Drosophila melanogaster: one gene and its partner. The protein of the gene in region 2 purifies or fractionates together with the protein of the main gene of each other region. This does not show direct contact. Each region holds a gene or a part of one and is shown on either strand. Other genes may lie near its edges.

Region 1 (7,649 bases), on a different chromosome or scaffold from region 2:
GATGCTCTTTTATAACGACGGGCCAAGCAGAGTATGGCGCAAACCGTTGAGTGCGCTAGAAAAACAAAATATCATTCCAACGATAAAATTTGGAAAAATGTCACTGATGGTTTGGGGCTGTATCACCAGCCGTGGAGTGGGAAAACTAGCCTTAATTGAGAGCACAATAACTGCCGTGCAATATCTAGAAATGTTAAAAAACAAATTTGAAGGCCAGTGCAGAAAAATTCGGTCTAGTTAGCAACAACAAGCCAAATCTTAAGTTTTACCAGGACATGATCAGAAACATAAAGAGTGCAATGTACGCACCTGGCGCCTTAATAACTGTGGTAAAGTGATCGATACGCCCCCTCAGAGTCCTGATCTGAACCCCATTGAAAATTTGTGGACCTACTTAAAGAAGAAGGTGGCAAAAAGGGACCTAAAACACAACAACAGCTTATGACTGTAATAGTCGAAGAGTGTGAAAAGATCCCGTTTGAATATGACCTGCAAAAACTTGTCCAATCCATGAAAAAAAGGCTTCAACTTGTAGCTAAAGCCAATGGGGAACATACTACATACCAAAACTTTTAAAATTTTAATAAAATAATTAAAAAATTTAGGATTAAACTTCGATTTAGTGTTTTGTGTAAAGAGTTTCTTGACAGTCTCAAAAGTGTGTAAACTTGGAATTTGTTGTTTATTTTCTTGTATATTTAATATTTTTAATTTGTTTTTTGATTTATAAGTAAAATAAATATTGTTTAATTATATTTTATAAAAAAATTGCGTTTAATTAAGCAAAAAACCCTTTATTTTTAGCTTTAAAGTCAAAAATTCAACTTATTTCACAGTGTGTAAACAGTTTCTTGACAAACTGTATATCAATATATAAATTGCTCGCGCTTAAAAATTAGGTTTACGGCTGGAGTTAAAACAACACGTACACGCGTCTCTCTGCACGTTTAATTGCTACGACCAATAAATATAGATATTTCTCTCTTACGGCCTAGATGATATAATATGCATTGCATCCTCTAAAAACTACAACAAATTGAGCAAAAGTCTGTGTTAATTTCACAAAAAGCGAACATTAAAAGTACATTGCTTAGCATGCGAATTACTCATTTACTGTGTTAGCTTTGATTGAGAATTGTTTTTGTGGGCGTTAATGGTGGTGTTTCTTGTTGTCGATCCACATGGTGTTGTGTTTGCTGCCGCATTTATTGCAGATGAGAAAAGGGTGAGAAAAATGCACCTGGCCTTCTTCCGGGCCGCGGTCTAGCTCTCCCAGACTTCGTCCCGCTGTTTGGCAGCTAGCAGTTTGCGTTCTGAATAAAAAGATAAGGCAGATTAATAAAAGACCAAGGGAAGGCAGCGCCAATGATTCCAAATCAAGTATATCCTTGACCCAGTTTAGTTACATGGCCCGCACTCACCTTTGGCTTCACGTAGTACCCGCCTCTCGTTCTCCCGTTCCTGCGGCGCCGTGGGCAGCTTGACTCCCAGTGCACCCGATACCAGTCGTCGGGCCAAGGCCGTGCAGGTTTCCGGACGCTGGCGATAGGGCTGCATTGACACCGCGCCGGCCTTCTTTGCCTTCAGTCGTGACTCCAGAGTGGCTTCCGCAAGTGGCTTCAACTTGACAAACGGATGCCCCATCGTCAGCACCTCAGCAGCTGCGGAGGAAACGTTCTATTTCATTACCGAACCAATCTCCGGTTGCATTTGTAGGCACTCACCAATGCGGGAACTGCTGAACACAGCCAGGGCATGGGTATCGTCTACCCACTTGATGTCGAAACCACTGCCCCTGTACTGGGCGAAAAGCATGAGCAGGTCGGGAGTTTTGAACTCCACTGGGAAATTGGACACCTCCAGAACGTGCGGAAATTCCTCTTCGTTGAGCAGTTGTTGTTTAATGTGAAAGACCTGTACGAATTGTGGAACAGAGTGTTTAATTTGATGATGATGCTGGTTAACCAGTTATATCTACTTACCGTATAGTCCATTTTGGGCAGCTCTATTTTGCACTTGCCCACGGATTCAGTCAGTTCTTGGAGTAACTTGGGATCCAGACAGTCGCCGCTCTCGTCGAACATCTTCTCCCAGTCGTCCTCGTCCTCCTCGTCATCGTCTTCGGTGGTGCTGTCTACAGGTGGTTTCGCTGTGGCTGATGCTTGCGGGGATGTGGGGATGGCCTTTGTTGCCGATGTCTCTATTTTCTCGGGAATCTCCAGCACATCTGAGTTGAAGGTTTGTTTCATGATGCGCCGATTGCTGCGATTGATTTCCTGCAATCGTTTGGAAGTTAGTTAAAACATTTCGCTGATTCCATGCGGCATAACTTACCTTTGAGGCTCGCTGCAGCTCGCGCACATCGTTATCACATTTGGCCGGCTCCTCGCCATTGGTGCTCCTGGCCGCCACCACATCCTCGATGCGCAGCGGAGGCGATGCCTGGCTTTTGCCATTGCTGGCTGATTTGTTGCCATTGCCTGGCTTTGTACGCTGGGCGCCGCTCATGATCTGTATGTTAGAAAGGCAAGGTCAGCTATTAAAATGTGTATTAAAAAATTCTAACTGCTGATGGAGAATGGCGCTACGCTGAACAATTATTGTTAATAAGAACTAATTCATAGGCTTTAGATTCGCTTATATACGTTCTTGTCTTGTTTTAGTACACACACCTCCTTATCACAGTCCGCTGGCTTTGCCGGTCGGTGTTCTTCGTTGGATTGAGTATCGTTCTCAGATGCTGATATAACCAGTACAGTGGCGTTATCGGCCGTTGTAGCTGTTGTCGTTTTCTTTGCGCGTTCTCTGCGCTCCCGATGCGATTTGCTTTTCTTCGACTTGGACGGCGGCTGACCGTTGACGTCGTCCGCTTTGCTCGGCTGTGTATCTGCAACTGGCGGGGAATCCGGCGCTGTTGTAATTGTTGCTGCGACCACCGCTGCTGCTGCTGGTGGTGATGTTGTTGCAACCGCTGTCGCTGCCGCCGCCGTTGTTGTTGTTGTAGTAGTCGGTGGTGTAGTTTGACTGCGTCGTGCCCTTGGCACATAAACCGCTCGATCGGGACGGCGTTCACGTCGTGTCGCCGCCGCCGCTGCTGCTGCTGAGGCGTCCGCCTCTCTACGAAAGAGCGGAGCAAAACAGAGATAATAATAATAAACGGTGAAGGAAACGAGGTAACGAGATTAGCTCACGACAGAATATCAACAGTTTCGTTAGAGGTATATACGCAGTTTATGATCTATTCCTAACTTTGATGGGTTGCAAATCGATTTACCTACCTGTTTGGGGATTCTTTGGAGGTAGGACTTGTAGATGCAGTGGTTGCTGTTCCTGCAGCTAATGGTGTTGTTATAGCTTCGTTTACTGCAGCTGCTTCCTCGCTGCTGCTGTTGTTGTTATTGCTATTGTTCCTCAACGCTGGCGGCCTGTATAAATCCACCGAATTCGATTTGCTTACTGCAAGATACAGATAGAGAAGGCGCCATCCATGAGATACATTGAGAAAGAGACACAAGATGCCGAATGTGAGATACTTCACATGATACGAAGATAGATCGCCAAATGGGAGAGCTAAGCAGACGATTAGCAACAATAGTTGGCAAATGCTCAAAACAAAACGAATAAAATAGAGACTAAGGTGAAGCAACGGATTCGGCATAAAATAAATTAAAAGCAAAATTCACTCATGTCGACCCAATTTTTTACGATCCGCTCTATGCCCGATTTTCGTGAATGTCAACACGAACTTGACAGGTGGATCCCAGGCAGCAAGGGGGGGCTGCGGGGGCGGTCCAGAGCTGGTGAGCGTGCGCAGCGGTCGACCAGTTGAGCGTCTACCTGCGTGAAGCCAAGTGAAGTGAAGTGAGGTGAGCCGTGATGCAACATCACCAAAAAATCCGCTCGAGAAAGAGGGCGACCTTGAATGAACGGCAACGGCGCTGCCGACGTCGATCAGCTGGCGCATCTGGTTATTTTTAGTTAATCTACCTGTTTGCTATACACTTGGCCGGAATTTAGTTATTACTTCTGATTGGAAAGCTCATTAATGCTTCAATTTGCTGGGTATCTAACACAACTGTGCAATTTAATGGCAAAAATGTACATAGATAAATATGTGAATTAATTTTCAGTATTACTGGGTATTCTCATATTCGTCGCTATCCCTGTTACATTTTCGATTTCTTTGTTTGGCTTCTTTTTGCGTATTTGCGAACACTTAAATTTATGACTGCTTGCTAAACGGGGAGCCAAAAACGCATCGCTCCAAAATGTGATTAAAAAACAGGGGATAGCCTTTGTTTATATGTACGGCCAGCTTGCTTTGGGCCATTTACTCACATGGAGTCTCGCTGATATGCTTCTTAACGCCCATCTTACAGAGCTCCGTGGCGCTTCTTCTGCTGGCGCTGCTGCTTCTGCCGTTCGTGTGATAGTGCGAATTGTTGTTGCTCCGCCAGCTCCTCGCTGCCTCTCGCTCTCTATCCTTCTCCCTCTGCTGCTGCTGCTTGCGGCTGTTAATTGTGCATTAACGACAAATTGAAATGAACAATAATCTACTGTCAGATATCAGATGCTCACTTCTCAAAGCCGCTGGGATCCAGAAGCTGGTTTCGAAAGCAGAGGACGGTGCGCCGCTGCGGCCCTTGGCCCACTGAGAAGGTGAACAGATCGTACTGCTGGCGGTATTTCTCACATGTTTGGTGGATGAGATAACGGCGGTAGTTGCCCACAGGTGGAAAGAGCAGAACGCTGCGGAAGAAAGCGGTGGAGAAGGTGAACAAACCATCGATCAATTCAATTCGCTGACTGCGTGCGTGTATAGTGAGTCGTTTATGCGGGAACTCCATTAACGATAATTAGGCGAATTGAAAACACTCCTGATAAGCACAGGCAAAACAGGCGGAAATACATTTGGGAGCTTAGATACTAAATTCGTATGATAAAAATGAATCATATATTCATAAAAGCCGTGTTAAAAATGAAGAGGTAAATCCATTTTTTTTTTTTAGAATGTGCTTCTAATGCTAACTTGTTTACTACCTGATTGTTAACACACTATAATTAAATTTTTAGTTCCATTGATAGATCTTGATTACAGTCCCGCATAAACCCAGCTAGAGCGCCGCCCAATGGGACCGAATCTTCTAACAGGTTGTTGGGAATTCTCACTTGGAAGAGGAAGCACAAGAAACGACCTCAAGAAGAAGGCGAACAAGCGAAACAAAACGGAACGGCAAAGCACGACTTGTAAACTATATTATGTAATCGGATGGTGTAATATTTTGAAAAAGCTCAAATTTCTATGCGCGGCTTGCTGTTGTTTATTGCTTGACGATTAATTGTTTATTAAACGCGGGCTGAATGCAAGAAGAGCGCTTAGGCACGAAGCCCCAAATCAAAAAATCGGTGTTAGTTGGCGCAACTGCAATGCGGAAAAGTCACAATTGCTCTCGTTGTTGTGGTTGTTGTTGCTGTGGCGCAGCTGGGAAAACTCGAAATTGTGCAGAAAAAGACGGGGAGGGGTGGGGGAAAACTGGTGGTATCTGCACGAAAGGCCCACAAAACTCGTACTACTTCTCGTTGTTGTTGGTGTTGTTTTTGTTTCTCTGTTGCACATTTCCGTATTACCATTGTTGTAACGGTACTTTGTTACAAGTTATTCTCTCTCCTACTCTTTCCTTCTTACTCTCTGTATTTGTTGTTTTTGGAGAAATAAGGGGAGCTCTACTTCCTTCTCCTTCACTCACACATTCAGAGACCACAACAGACACACACACAAATGCCCACACTAACATACACCCACACATATGCACTTGCTATTCTCGTGGCAAAAAGTTCTAATTCGTTCATTTTGTAGGTGCGACTTTATTCTTACCCACGATTCAAGCGCTTCTTGACAAAGAGCTCGATATCACAACCGACATTATGTACGAATTCCTGATCGATTAGGCTTAAATTATTTGCGAATGCCTCCAGTTTATTTTAAAAAAGTCGCGACGACGAAAAAACCGACGTCGCACGCACACAAACAAAATTAGAACTTTCGATGTTACCAGATTGTGATCCGAGGACGCGAATAACTGCCTAAAAAATACCATGTTACGCGCGAAAGCTTAAACATTTGAATTTTATAAATAATCGATAACATCAGTCATTTCCTACATTTATTTTACAATGTAAGATACTTACGCGGTAGATATTTTTAAAAGCAAATAATACAAGTGGTAAAAGTAAATAAATCGTTTCTCAATCACTAACTCTTCCCTTCACATTTTTAGTATGTATCATCATTATTACAGTGCGGTTTTAGTTTTATATTAACGTTTTTGAGGGAACAATAAGTTGCTACAAACGCAAATTGGTGTTTTAGTTAGGCAAATTCTTTTTTTCTTAAAACAATGCTAATGCGTGAGAATAAGTTCTTATTTTGTCCATAAAGTGACTGCTGAAAGTAGGTTAAGTATTTAATTTCACTGCTTTGTGGCTCAGTTTTTCCTACCAAGCTCCGCAGCATTTTTTGCCGCTAATATTTGATTAAAAGCTTCAAATTAATTTTACATAAACACGAACTACCAGGCGGAAGAGCTGAGGGAAAACCTGTCGTTCACTCCATATCCGCTTTCCCGGCTGTCAAAGAGCTATCGCGCCCTTGACACCTCCCACACCACCCAGTCGCCCAAAAGCCACCCACTTGCAACACCCCACACTACCCTCCCCGCCTACCAGCTCCACTTTCTAATGGCTATCGGGAAGCACAAATACTCCGTCATTTCAGTGCAGTGGGTTATGAGCCGTAAATGTCGATTCTGTAAACCCACGCGGAAAACACTTCAAAAATAACTAGAAAGAGAACATTTCGTATTAATTACAAGTTGTTATTAAATGGTAGTACTTGGCTTAGGCTCTACTTGAAAAAGGTTGCCCATTTACCCATTAATCATTCAAGTGATTTGAATTTTTCAACTGGCCTTGTATGTGAAATATGATTTTGCCTTTAAATATAGCAACCTTTAAGATACATTTTTCCGAGTGCTCTGTTATCGCTCATACATGGCCATTCATTACAGGTCTGAGGGTTGGCCAAAAACTATGCCCATTGCCACGCCCCGCCCGGCAATTTGCAACGCCCTTTGCTGTCGTCTCCTGTCAAAATGGCATTCATAAAACCGGCTCCTCGGCCTCCCAGTCCCCAATTTTCGTCAAATTGTCCCCGTTTATTTCGCCTGATAATGCCTCAATAAAATCTGGAAGGCATCTTTTATGGATAGGTGTTTGGATACATGAATGACTGGGTATCTATCTGGTGTAGGTGTTTGCCATCGGCAATATTGGTACATATTCCTTTCCTGTACCTAAACAATAAGTTCCGTGTTATGCCAAACTATTTTGCAATTACGAAAGCTGTAAATTTTTACGATCTTAAAGCCATTCGCTTGTGAGGGCCCGAATTGAAGGACGTTTTGCATTCGATTTTTATCTCTTGGGCCCGCAATCTGTTTGGCTGGTTTAATAAAATAGTTTTCCACTCGTTTATGATTACAACATCATCTGCTTTTAATTACTTTTGAGGCCCGCTGTGTGCCCTCGAGTATTAGGGTTAGCAATGAAATTATTCTTTAAAAAATTATCTTTTTTATAGTCAAAGTAAC
Region 2 (4,353 bases):
CGCCAAATGCGTTGCTGGCGGTTACAGGCAAGTTACACACAACACACTCGCATTCAATTATAGCAACTTTTTCTTTTACCCATTTTTTTTTTTTTTTGCCTGCCTGCCTGCCGCCTGCCTCCCTTTTTACAATGCGCACAATTTACGTGGCACTTGGTGCGGGTGTAATTTATTTTAATTAAAAAATTTGAATTTCCCACACGCTCGGAAGTTTCTAACTTTAAATTCCCGCCCTTCGCTTGCATTGGTTTTTCAACTTTGTCGAACCAAACAACGCATGCATTTCAATATCAATTACGCTACTCTGATTTTGCCTCTCAAAATCCATTTGGCTTAAGAGAAGTTGCAATTTCATCTGCATTGCTGTATTTTTTTCTTTTTTTTTTTTGCATAGAAAAAGCTAACGAAAAACGTGAAAAATGTTTCTATATTCTGCCTGGATTATACACTTTTAACGGATCAAAAGTTTCATTTGCCATTTATCGAATAGAAATCGAAGACTTTTATCGAATTTGACATTAGCATCATGGAGACTCACCGATAGCGCCAAAAGTTCGTCATGGATTGCACCTCCCGCCGCTCGGCGGTGTCGTATTTGCCACCCACGCCCTCCTTGGTTAGGCGATCGAGGACCGTGTGCCGCAGGACGAAGTCCACAACGGCCTTCTTCATGGCGAACACGTAGTCCGCCCGGACTTCGGCTATGTTTTCATTGAGTGCCGTCTGCCACTTGTAGAGCAGTGGTGGCACAAGATCGGTTATCCTGCAGACGGAAAGCAGTTAGCAAAAAAGCAGATACATTTGAAAGTGTTCAGTGGAACGCACCTCTTGAGGATCTTCTTGCTCAACGGCGACACGTGAATGGTGTCAATGCCATGCTTGATGTAATAGTAATATCGCAGAATCTCGCGCTCCTCCTGGTCGGGAAAGGGTACGGCGCACTGGGCGGCCAGCTCGGGATCCTGGTCGTCGTCCATGTGCAGGATGAGCTCCACCAGCTTGCGGCGGAAGTGCTCCCGCTCCAGTCGCATGGTCATGTAGTTGGCCTTGGCCACGCCGCTCTCACGCTTCTTCTGGCGTTTCTTCTGCTGTTTCTTCGCGCAGAGTATGTTGTCCGGCAGGTCGGATTTCATCTTGCCGTCCAGCAGGGAGCTGGCGCATTCCGGCATGTTCAGTTCGTACCACAGGCGACGCGACTTGTACTCCGGATTGGCCTTTGACTGCAGGATGCTCTGCAGCACATCCGGCTTGGGTCGCGTGTACAGCATCTTCGACTTCTCGCATAGGCGGCGACCGCCGCATATGGACGTGAAGCTGGGGATGCTGAACTCCCGATTCGGATTCTGTCTGCCCTGCATGTTGAAGCCTGAAATCGGTTCAACGTTCGAATCAAAATGTGACTACAGAAAATGAAAATTGTTTTCAATAATTGTTTTTGAAACATAAAACGATTGTATCCCGCCGAGTTATTAATCAAAGTACTATTTAAAGTAAAAAAAAACACTAAAATATTAATTAAGAAAATAACTACGTGCGCCAGAATTAAAAAAAAAACTATTTATTAGGTTTAAGTTTTAAATATTTGGTTTCAATCCATTTCGAATCGGTTGTAACCGGTAATAGGTTGTAACATCCACTAAACGTCATTTGGCCAACGATAGCGTCGCCACTATCGATAGTCGCTTCGCAACAGCTGTTCTCCGCACACGCGCCCTACCGGCTTTTTTGCCATCCCTAACAGCCGAATTGTGCAACACGGAAAATTGTCAAAATTTTCAGTTTCAAAATTAATTGCTCGAATTAAGCACACAGAAAAGCCGAAAACTAAACTATCGACGCTTACCAGTCGTTCACCTATCGAGGCACCACACTCGCTTTGGATTTATTCGCGCCGCAACGCGATTAATTTTTCTTGAACCGAAGCGAACATACGAAGGAGTTGAAAACAAATGCAAATCTCACACAGGCTTTTCCGTTGTTTAGAATGAATTGATTTTCCGGGCAACTACTACATAGCGACAGGTCGGAAAACGGAAAAACAAACAAGCCGGCGAGTTGCCCTTGACAGCAGGCAAAGAGCAACAATTCAATTCGCACACAAATCACGCTAGAAATCATTTTGGCCTCCCAGTAAATTTCGGAAATTTTTTGGAAAAATGCTGCTACAAAGGTTTTTCACACGCGCACTTCACTCCACGCGGCAGCTTTATGCCGGCTCTGGCGGATCCGGTGGCCTGGAGAAGAGTGCCCTGGCGGCGCTGAGGAAGAAAACCGGATACACCTTCGCCAATTGCAAGAAGGCGCTGGAGAAGCACAACAACGACGTCGGATTGGTGGGTAGTTGGCTAATAGTTTTATTGCAAGCGGTGCAGTGAGCTTTCCATTACAAAGAGCACGAAATGGGGATCTCTACATTTTGAAAAATTGCTGATTTTTCTATATTATTATGTAATATATATAGCTGCACCGCATGCAAACTCCTTTGTGATCAAAACACATCTGTGCTAATCAACTCACCTTGCCATCATCTCGCTCTTGCAGGCTGAAAAGTGGCTGCACGAGCAGGCCCAGACCCTCGGCTGGTCGAAGGCCACCAAGGTCGCAGATCGAGCCACTGCACATGGTCTGATTGGAGTGCTCATCCGCGGAAACCGGGGCGCCATGGTCGAGCTGAATTGCGAGACGGATTTCGTAGCCAGGAACGATACCTTCAAGCGGTTCGTTGACCACGTCGCCTGCATGTGTCTGCAATACACGGACTTGACGGACTTCGATGGAGATCTGTGGAAGGTGAGCGAGATTTTTATGGGAAATGTACACAATATTTGGATCAGAACCGGTTTTGCATCCATTCCTAAAGAAATTGCTAATTAAAGAATGTGCATATCCTTTCAGCTTGGCTTTGATGCGGACGCCCTCAGAAACTTGCGCACGGAGGAGGGACGCACGTTGGGCGACCACCTGGCTCTGCTGATCGGCGCCATCGGGGAGAATGCCACCATCCGGCGCGCATTGTGCTTTAAGGCTAACAACGACCTGAAGCTGGTGGGCTACGCCCATCCCGCACCCACCAATGTGGGCACCACGGAAGGCATCACCCAGGTGGGCAAGTACGGAGCGATCGTAGCCTACCGATCCACGCACCCCCTGCTGGACTTTGAGTTTCACAAGAGCATTTGCCAGCAAATCGTGGGCATGAAGCCGACAAAGATCGGCGAATATGACAAGGACAAGCCGGCGGAGAACAAGGACGATGAGACGTGCCTGATTCACCAGGAGTATCTGCTCGATGCGGACAAGACGGTGGGCGAGGCTTTGCAGGAGCACAACTGCGAGATCGTCGACTACCATCGCTTCGAGTGCGGAGAGCACACGGAACGCAGCCTGGAGGCGATCATTCGCTCGCAGCACCAGAGCAGCAATTAACTAGCCATTAAGCAGAGTCTAGAACACTAAATTGTTATTAGCACAACAGCTGAAGATTGTTAAAACCGAAATTCTGGACAATGTTCTGGTCAAAATTTGCATGTAAAACAAGTAAAACAACCATTACGATCAGATCTCCACCTCTCTTATTTGAATACGCCATACCCCATGAGTCATGGCAAAAAATTGGGGTGACCAAGGAGAATGCGCCTGCGCAGAACGGGAAGCACGCTTGAGCGGCTTCCGGTCGCTGAAGCAGTGGAACCCGCGGGAAGAACGGGCGAATGGACAACGCCAGCAGAATGAACTGTTTACAAACGTGTTTTTTTGTTCTGCTTCCCGTAATTACCCACTTGGTCATGCGATAGCCCAAAAGAAAGAGCAAAAAGAAAGGTTTTTAGCTTTGGGGGCAAAGGCAAAAACCAAGTGAGGGTTGGGTATGCCACTTGCTTGGGGCTCATGTTAAGGAAATGGGAGTACGAGTAGATTTGGCCAGGGAGGAAAATCAAAATAGAAGAAATGGTTTTCCAGCCCTAAGAAATTTGCAGCACTGAAATATTAGCTACTAAGTAGGCCTGTCAAATAAATCCCTTTCATTATCAACCATCGATCGTCGTTAGAGATTCAATCGCCAAAATGGACTACCTGGACATTGAATCCTTCCGCTCCAGGTACAGCGACATAACCGTCACGGCCGTGCCATCGCGCCCCAAGGCGGACGAGGAGCCAGCAATGGACACCAACCAGGAGCTAGCAATCAAGACGCATGTGCCACAAGTGGAGATAACGAGGGTGAGTGGAGCCGCTTCTGCTGGCAGTAGCTCCACTGCGAATGCAGCGATGATGCTGCGCAACAGGCAGCAGACAAACAGCGCCGCACTTGCCTACGCCAACGAGTACAAGGAGGTGATGGCCAAACTGGAGTAC

The links.
Region 1: the proteins of mEFTs (region 2) and CG2162 purify together in Drosophila melanogaster (affinity purification with mass spectrometry, with the first as the bait; one large-scale study listed by BioGRID). This does not show direct contact.

Annotation. Positions count from the first base shown.
Region 1 is NT_037436.4:3,033,591-3,041,239, reverse strand, and holds CG2162 (uncharacterized protein), read right to left. Parts: upstream 6,045-7,649; 5' UTR 5,947-6,044; coding exon of another isoform or gene 5,876-5,946; intron 4,750-5,875; coding exon of another isoform or gene 4,579-4,749; intron 4,512-4,578; coding exon of another isoform or gene 4,373-4,511; coding exon 4,339-4,372; intron 3,457-4,338; coding exon 3,279-3,456; intron 3,118-3,278; coding exon 2,673-3,117; intron 2,512-2,672; coding exon 2,335-2,511; intron 2,277-2,334; coding exon 1,983-2,276; intron 1,915-1,982; coding exon 1,725-1,914; intron 1,662-1,724; coding exon 1,422-1,661; intron 1,314-1,421; coding exon 1,264-1,313; 3' UTR 771-1,263; downstream 1-770.
Region 2 is NT_033779.5:17,498,472-17,502,824, reverse strand, and holds mEFTs (mitochondrial translation elongation factor Ts), read left to right. Parts: upstream 1-1,718; 5' UTR 1,719-2,156; coding exon 2,157-2,333; intron 2,334-2,541; coding exon 2,542-2,790; intron 2,791-2,895; coding exon 2,896-3,426; 3' UTR 3,427-3,557; downstream 3,558-4,353. Other genes in the region: Dhc36C (dynein heavy chain at 36C), read right to left, coding at 539-763, 826-1,358; CG15142 (uncharacterized protein), read left to right, coding at 4,063-4,353. UniProt on the Drosophila melanogaster protein: Associates with the EF-Tu.GDP complex and induces the exchange of GDP to GTP. It remains bound to the aminoacyl-tRNA.EF-Tu.GTP complex up to the GTP hydrolysis stage on the ribosome.